Ovis aries: one gene and its partner. The main gene of each other region encodes a partner of the protein of the gene in region 2 in a complex. Links are inferred from orthologs where the notes say so. Each region holds a gene or a part of one and is shown on either strand. Other genes may lie near its edges. The genes, in order: POLR2C and ERCC2.

Region 1 (3,911 bases), about 28 Mb from region 2:
CAGTTATGATGCAGACAGTTCCCTGTATTACCCCAAAAACACTGACCTAAAGATACCACGAGAATGGGAGCGTGTTTCTCAGAGCGGAGTATTTCTGTGGGAAGCACTTAAATCTGCTACTCATGCCAACACCAGTAAGAACACAAGCTATTTGGGCACTTGAAAGTTGGACAAACCTCAGAGAAGTAACATAGACTTATGGCCCACATCTCCTTTTGTGATATAATGACTAGATTACCCAAATTAATACTTTATTATCATTCAACCAAATCATGTTTACCCAATTCCTTTAATGGGTAGGGCATACTAATCCCTACCAGCCATGAGCGAGGAGGAGAACTGCAGTGTCACACATAGTTGATTTAAACACATTTACTCATTCATTCATAAATATGTGTACATAAACAATTAAATTCAGAAGTCAAAAGGCAGTGAGACCAACTGTTCAATGAGGGGCACAGACACTAGGAACAGAGGACCAGACACGACCAGACCCCCACCTGCTTGTCCTTCTGCTTCCTAAACCTGAGCCAAGCAAGGACTAAGAGCCAAGCTTTTCTGTCTCTGCCTTTCCTCCCACTGGCGTGCCTTTAACCTCTCCTGTGCAGGATTTAAAATCCTGTGAGCTTCCTATAAACCAGGCCTTGCCCACCCTCTGTGATACAGAGATGAATACTCTCTCCCGGGAGGAAGCTACTCTCTCCTGGAACTCTGTCCACACTTCTCTTAAGACACTTGTCAAATTGCGTTATATCTGTGTGCATCTTGCTTCCACCTCAAGCTTCAAAATTTCTTTGGGTCTTCAGATGTCTTAATTTCTGTATTCCTAGCTGGGGTCTGGATTGCAAGAGGTGCTTCATGCTACATGGGAAAAGTGGCGCTTGAATGTCAGGGCTGCACCCTAAAGCACAACTGCCTCACTTTACTCATGATGAAACTAAGGTCCTGAGACCCCACGGGGTGATTAGGCAGAGAAGGAGAACCAGCACTCCAAGCTCTGAGTTGAAAAAGTCTCCGGGGGGTGGTAATGGTGGAAAAACTACAATGTCCTCTGCTTACCAACCAACTGGCCCGTTCATCTCCTTAGGAATTTGCACACTTGATGCGGTAACTATGGCTTACATCTCTTTTTCCTAAACCAAACTCAGAGTTAACACTCGGAAAATATTTGTAGTATATCTGTAGACAGGCAGAACACCCAGTGAAGAGTGGCTGGAACAAAAGCAGAAACAGATCCTTTCTCCTTGAAGCGTCAAACCCACTGCAGCTACGGTTCTCCTTAAACCCTAGAAGAATCTGCCTGCAAATGCAGGAGAAGCGGGTCTGATCCCTGGATTGGGAAGATCCCCTAGAGAAGGAAATGGCTGCCCACTCCAGTATTCTTGCCTGGAGAATCCCATGGACAGAGGAGCCTACAGCCAATGGGGTCGCAAAGAGTCGAACACAACTGAGCAACTGAAGATGAACTCCTAGAGAACCCTGTACTTCACAGCTCTGCGTTTCCAGTGCCTAGCACCACTGCCTGGAGCTTATATGCTCCCGAGATGCAGCTGACGGAACAGATTCACATTACCGGGCAATGGAGACTCACTGAACACAAGGCACAGAGATTATTCCCCTTAATCGTTAACGTCGCCCTGACAACTGCTATTAGCGTCCGAACATTAGAGAGGGGACTGCAACAGAGTTTAATAGCTTGCCCAAGTTTCGCAGCGATAGTAAGTGAAAACAGTTTGAGTCCCAGTCCACAGACTCCTGAGCCCATGAGCGTCACCAACGCACGGAAAAGAATGGAACTAAATAGCCCGTGGGAGCCAGAGAGGTGGCCAGAGTGGGCCTGGGCCAAGGGCAAAGGGCCCGATCAAGTCTCCAGCACGACTGTCCTCTTAGCGCCCCCAATCCCTCGCCCAAACCAAGGCTGGGGGCAGGAGCTGCAAGGCAAGGGGAGGAGTGGGGTGGGGGGAGAGAGGCCTGGTAGCCCTGGCAACGAGACTGGGGTCGCTTACCTATTATGGGCACCTCAGCGATGAAGACCCTCCGGATAGAATTTGCCACCCTGAGGAATGAAAACCAAGCGGCGTGTGGGCACCGCAACCTCGACAGGCCGGGCTCGCGCCCCACCGCGCCCAAAGCGGAAGCCAGTTTTGAAAAGACACGACGTCCCGCAGGCTGGGACCCCGGCTCTCCAGAACCGCCAACCTCTCCCCCAGCAGTCTTACGCCAGGTCCGTGTTCTCGATGATGAACTTGACATTCTCGTCGGTGAGCTCCGTGATCCGCACTGTGGGCTGGTTGGCGTACGGCATCGCGCCCCACCGCTCGCTCGACCTCTGTTGTCAGCTCTGCCGGGCCTGCGCCAACTCCTCCAGCGGAAGTCCGTCAGCGGGGCCTCGCCACTGGCGCGGACGGGCGCTCACAGCGCCGCCTGCTGCTCGGAGGCCTGAAGTTTTCCACCCACCCCTCCCACCTTCTTGAAGAGGCACCACGTTCAACCATTCAGAGGGCGATTTGGCAAAGCATGCACACGCCCTTGATTCCACAGTAACACTTCTAAGAATCCATACTGCAGAAACATTTGCAGGTGTAAGCAAACATGTACAGGGACGTTCACTGCAGCTGCTGCTGCTGCTAAGTCGCTTCAGCCGTGTCCGACTCTGTGCGACCCCATAGACTAGGCAGCCCACCAGGCTCCGCCGCCCCTGGGATTCTCAGGCAAGAACACTGGAGTGGGTTGCCATTTCCTTCTCCAGTTCACTGCAGCAGTTTCTGGCAAAAGATAAATAAAAGATGCCCATTGACAGAGACCTGGTTAAATATACAAACACAGGAATACTGTAACGTTTTTTAAAAGAATGAAGTGTGTAAATTTATGGAAGAAGAAAAGTACAGTTGGTCCTCCATATGCAAGGGTTTTTGAATCCAACCAATTGAAGATAAAATTCCATAAAGTTCCAAAAATAAAACAAATTTGCTGCACTATTTATATAGCATTTACAACTATTTACCATAGCATTAAACATTGTGTTAGGTACTATAAGAAACCTACAGATAATTTAAATTCTATGGGAAGGGCACATGTAGGTGCATAGTAGGCAGTGTCTTAAACAGCCTGCAAAGAGGTCTGATGGGTCTTTTTTTTGCTTTTGGTTGTGCCACATCCATGTCCCCTGAAATGAAGTAAAGTCCTAATCATTGGACTGCCAGGGAATTCCCAGGTGGCAGCAGATTATACAGAGAAGTCCTAAAATAGAACTTGGCAGGGAACAACATGTAGGGGGCAGAGAAAGAATCATCAGAGGGGACAGAGGCGTTTGCTTTAGCAAGGAGTGACATCTGAGACAGAGAAGAGCATTAAGGGGGCCCTTGCACTAAAGCCTGTATCATCTCAGTAAATTAAGAAGGTTGTCTGTTGAGTGTGAGATGGATGCTATATAGGATAAAAGAGGGAATGGAACAAAATATGATAGCTACTGCAGGCAACTTGACAGGATGTCAAGATAAAAGAATCAGGTGCAGAAAGGGCCCAGAGGAACGTGCGTGAGACAGGAAATTCCCACTAGCCGTTACTCCCATCGTCATTCAGTCCACTCAGGTAGGAGACCGCAGCGCAGAAGACAGATGGCTGTTGGATGCTGCATGCACCAAAATGGTGAAGCCCCAACTTCTCACGTGAGGATACTTGGAAAGGGGGTCTTTACGAGGCCCTGAGGATAGAACTCTCAGGAGATTAGTGCTCTAACAAAACCAGGAAGAGCGCAGAGCACACTGGCATGCTCTCTCTGTTGTGCGAGAATGCAGGGAGAAGGTGGCCGTGTGTGTCAGGAAGAAAGCGCCAAGAATCAAGTCAGCTGGCACCTTGACCTTGGACTTCCCGCTTCTAGAACTGTGAGACATATCACCACAGCAGCCTGA
Region 2 (3,911 bases):
ACAAACTGGGAACGAGGTAGGAGACAGACGAGCTCCAGTTTAGACATTTACAACTGGCCTCCTTTTTGCATTTCATGGGGCAGGAAGAAGTGAGCTTCAGGCTGGATACTTACAACTAGCCTTCTGTTAGCATTTCCTGAGACAGGAGATAGGTGGGCTCCAGTTTAGGCCTTTACAATCAGCCTCCTGTTTGCCCTCTGAAATGGAAGTAACAACAGATACAGGGTAAATAGCCTGTCTTTGTCTCTTGTAAACACCTTAAGATAATAATCATGGCAAGGACAAAGAGGGGCAAAACACTGTTTGAGTAAAGGATTAAGGGCTCTCCGCTCCCCTCCCTCACCCTTTCTGGGACATGGGAGACACACCACGACGGCAGAAAGGCTCCCGGTGTGTCAAAAGTCGGGGTGGGGGGTGGGGCGGTAATTCCAGGCCATAATGCGGCTTGCTGGTCCCAGAAGACTTCACCTCCAGATTCATCTTGGCTGAGGGTTGAGTGGGCACCTCAGGGGAGGGAGGGAGGACAAAGCAAGATGACTGGCCTGAAGGAAGACCAAGATCTGGAAAACTGTCCCCTTACAACAGATTTAAACTTCCTAAAGGTGTAACCCCAGAGTTTGCCCCTGCGTCTTTCCACATGTATTCTTCTTTTCCAATAAACTTTTTACTTTTCTCTTTACCTTCTGCCTCCTCCCCCGAATTTTTTCTTAACGCGGCAGGCAACGACTGGGGATCCAGGTCCTAGCCTCTGGCCTCTGAGATCCAGAGGTTAAGTTCCTGATCAGGAACTAAGCTCTTGTTCCCAGCTTCTGCTCGCTTCTGCTTGCTGCAAACTGCGGTTACTACTGCGTGCATCGGAAATCAGGAAGCGCAAATACACGGGACATGATAATTGGGAGCTCCTGCCTGCAGAATCCCATGGACAGAGGAGCCTGGTGGGTTACAGTGCACGGAGTCGCGAAGAGTCCGATACGACTGAGCGACTATGTACAGCACAGGGCATCCCTGGTGGCTCAGATGGTAAAGAATCCGCCTGCAATGCGGGAGACCTAGATTCGGCCCCTGGGTTGCGAAGATTCCCAGGAAGCCCTCTATGATCCCCCAGGCTCTGACCCTCTCTGGGTTCTCCCATTGTAGACTTGGTTACTTTATTGAAGTTGGGGAGAAAGGGAGGTGTACCTCTTAAAACCAAGAATATAATAGAATAAAATTGAGTATGCATCCCCTGCTCAGGTAATCTGGACAGACGCAGGAAGATCGAATCCCAGCGAATGAGATCGATTCTCTCAGTTCTCTTCCATCAGCGTTTCCTTCTCGGTACTCGGCGATCCTCCTCGATGCCTCCGGCCACACCTACCCCGGAACCCGCCTCCCGCAATTGCCGTGCGCACGCGCACTGTCTCCTGACGTCACTTCAATGGGGAGTGACGGGCAGGTTCAGCCAATGGCGTCGCGAAGAAGGTGGGGCAGCGCCTCGAGGATACCCTGAGGAGCCTGTCTTTCCTGAATATTCATAAGGGAGGCGGGCCGACGCCGCTCCAAACCGCGACCGGCGCCATGAAGTGAGAGGGGGGGTCTCGGGTTCGCGGCTCGCGAGCGGGAGTGGGGGTCCGGAAGATGCGGGGACGCGTGGTCAGGCCTCGGGTCCCGGCGGAGCGAAGGGAGGCTGCCGCGCTGGGGTGGGGATAGCTGCGGGGAGGGCCAGCGAGGGAATGCCGAAGGGACCTGGAGGCTGCTAGAGAACCGGGGGGATGTGCGGGACGGGCCAGCCGGCCGGAACCGCTCTCGGCCCGGCGGCAGGGGAGTCTGGGGGCTGGAGAGGGGGCTGAGGGGACGGGGGACTGATCCGGCAGCCCCCGCCGCCAGGCTCAACGTGGACGGGCTGCTGGTCTACTTCCCCTACGACTACATCTACCCGGAGCAGTTCTCGTACATGCTGGAGCTGAAACGCACGCTGGATGCCAAGGTGGGTGGGCCGGGCCCGCCGCTGCCCCCCTGAGAGGTGGGGCTGATCAACACGCGCCTTTAAGACTGAGATTGCAGCGGTCCCCAACCTTTTTGGCACCAAAGACCAGTTTTGGAGAAGTCAATTTGCGGACGGAGGGATTCAAACTCATTTTTGTGCATTTTATTTCTATTATTATTACATCGGGTCTATCAGACATTCGATCATTAGGCCTCATATCATCAGGTATTAGATCCTGGAGGCTGGGGACCTCTGGTCTAGAGTTTAGAAATCTGAGGTCCTTGTGATAGCCCCCGCTGCCAAACTTGGTATCTCAAATAATAGTAATTAAAAATAGCATCAGCTGACCTTTATCAAAGGCTGAACTGCTCCGTGGTAGGCTTAGGCATATAGAGACTCAGGAATTGGCTACCCACGGTAGTGTGTCCTTGGGTAAATCATCACTTAATCTCCCCTCTGCAGTCTTCACCTTGGTGAATAGCCATAGTAATAGTACCTACCTCAGCTTAATATGGGGCTTCCCAGGTGGCTCAGATGGTAAAGAATCTACCTGCAATGCAAGAGGCCGGGATTCAATCCCTGGGTGGGGAAGATCCCCTGGAGAAGAGAAAGGCAACCCACTCCAGTATTCTTGCCTGGAGAATTCCATGGGCAGAGGAGCTTGGAAGGTTACAGTCCATGGGGTTGCAAAGACTTGGACAGGACTGAGTGACTAACACTTTCACTACTTTCACTTTCATATTAGTGAGGGCTGCAGGGGTTAATTCACTAAGTAAGGCAGAAGTTCTCAACTGGGGACCATTTTGACCCCCGGAGGACATTCAGCAAAGTGTGGAGACATTCCCAGTTGTCAGTACTAGTGGAGGAGGGGTGCAACTGGTGTCTAGTATGTAGAGGCCACATTTGCTGCTGCAGTGGGGGACAGACCCCACAATCATATGGTATCCGGCCTCCAAATGTCAAGAGAGTTGAGGCTGAGATACTCTGATGTAAGACACTTAGTAATAGTGCCAGGCACAGAGTTAAGTGCTGTGCTAGGTTAAAAGAGAGGGCTCCTACATATCAGATAGAACTTCCCTGGTAGTGCAGACGGTAAAGAATCTGCCTGCAATGCAGGAGATTCCTGGGTTGGGAAGATCCTCTGGAGAAGGGCATGGCAACCCACTCCAGTATTCTTGCCTGGAGAACCCTGTGGACAGAGGAGCCTTACAGGCTATAGTCCTATAGTCATGGGGTCGCAAAGGGACATGACTGAAGGGACTTAGCATACATACAAATCAGATATTGTACTAAATATTTAGCCTGCAGTTTGTCCCTAATCGTCATAGTCCTGCGATGAGGAAGAGCTTCTTAGACCCCCCCAACCCCCTTTTTTTTTTTTTTTTTTGCTGCACTGCATGGCTTGCATGATCATAGTTCCCTGACCAGGGTTTGAACCTGGGCCCTCGGTAGTGAAGGCTCACAGTCTTCACCACTGTAGGCCAATTTTTAGAGACAGAGTCCTCAGAGAGGTTGAAAGGTCTTGCCTAAGACCACTCAACCAGAGTGGCAAAGTGAAAGTGAAGTTGCTCAGTCGTGTCCGACTCTTTGCGACCCCATGGACTGTAGCCCACCAGGCTCCTCAGTCCATGGAATTTTCCACACAACATTACTGGAGTGGGTTGCCATTTCCTTCTCCAGCGGATCTTCCCAACCCAGGGATTGAACCTGGGTCTCCCGCACGGCAGGCAGACGCTTTACCGTCTGAGCCACCAGGGAGATTCCAGAGTGGCAAAAGTGGGGTTCAAATCCACTGCCCCTGAGGCCTAGATTTCTAACTGCTATGTTGTGTCCTGTTATTCCAAGCTGGTTTCATTCTGGGGGAAGGGTCCCAGAGTTTGTGTCCCTGGAGTTTTGAGCGCCTGTGTCGTGTCCCTCCTGCCCACCACAAACAGGGTCATGGAGT

Evidence for each region.
Region 1: ERCC2 (region 2) and POLR2C share a complex: the UniProt entries of both Homo sapiens proteins name them as parts of the TBP-based Pol II pre-initiation complex. The link is inferred for Ovis aries from reciprocal best matches to the Homo sapiens genes ERCC2 and POLR2C.

What each region holds. Positions count from the first base shown.
Region 1 is NC_056067.1:25,049,219-25,053,129, reverse strand, and holds the start of POLR2C (DNA-directed RNA polymerase II subunit RPB3), read right to left. Parts: upstream 2,344-3,911; 5' UTR 2,306-2,343; coding exon 2,220-2,305; intron 2,057-2,219; coding exon 2,007-2,056; intron 1-2,006. UniProt on the Homo sapiens protein: Core component of RNA polymerase II (Pol II), a DNA-dependent RNA polymerase which synthesizes mRNA precursors and many functional non-coding RNAs using the four ribonucleoside triphosphates as substrates.
Region 2 is NC_056067.1:52,782,198-52,786,108, reverse strand, and holds the start of ERCC2 (general transcription and DNA repair factor IIH helicase subunit XPD), read left to right. Parts: upstream 1-1,524; 5' UTR 1,525-1,557; coding exon 1,558-1,562; intron 1,563-1,866; coding exon 1,867-1,966; intron 1,967-3,652; exon of another isoform or gene 3,653-3,724; intron 3,725-3,900; coding exon 3,901-3,911. UniProt on the Homo sapiens protein: ATP-dependent 5'-3' DNA helicase. Component of the general transcription and DNA repair factor IIH (TFIIH) core complex, not absolutely essential for minimal transcription in vitro.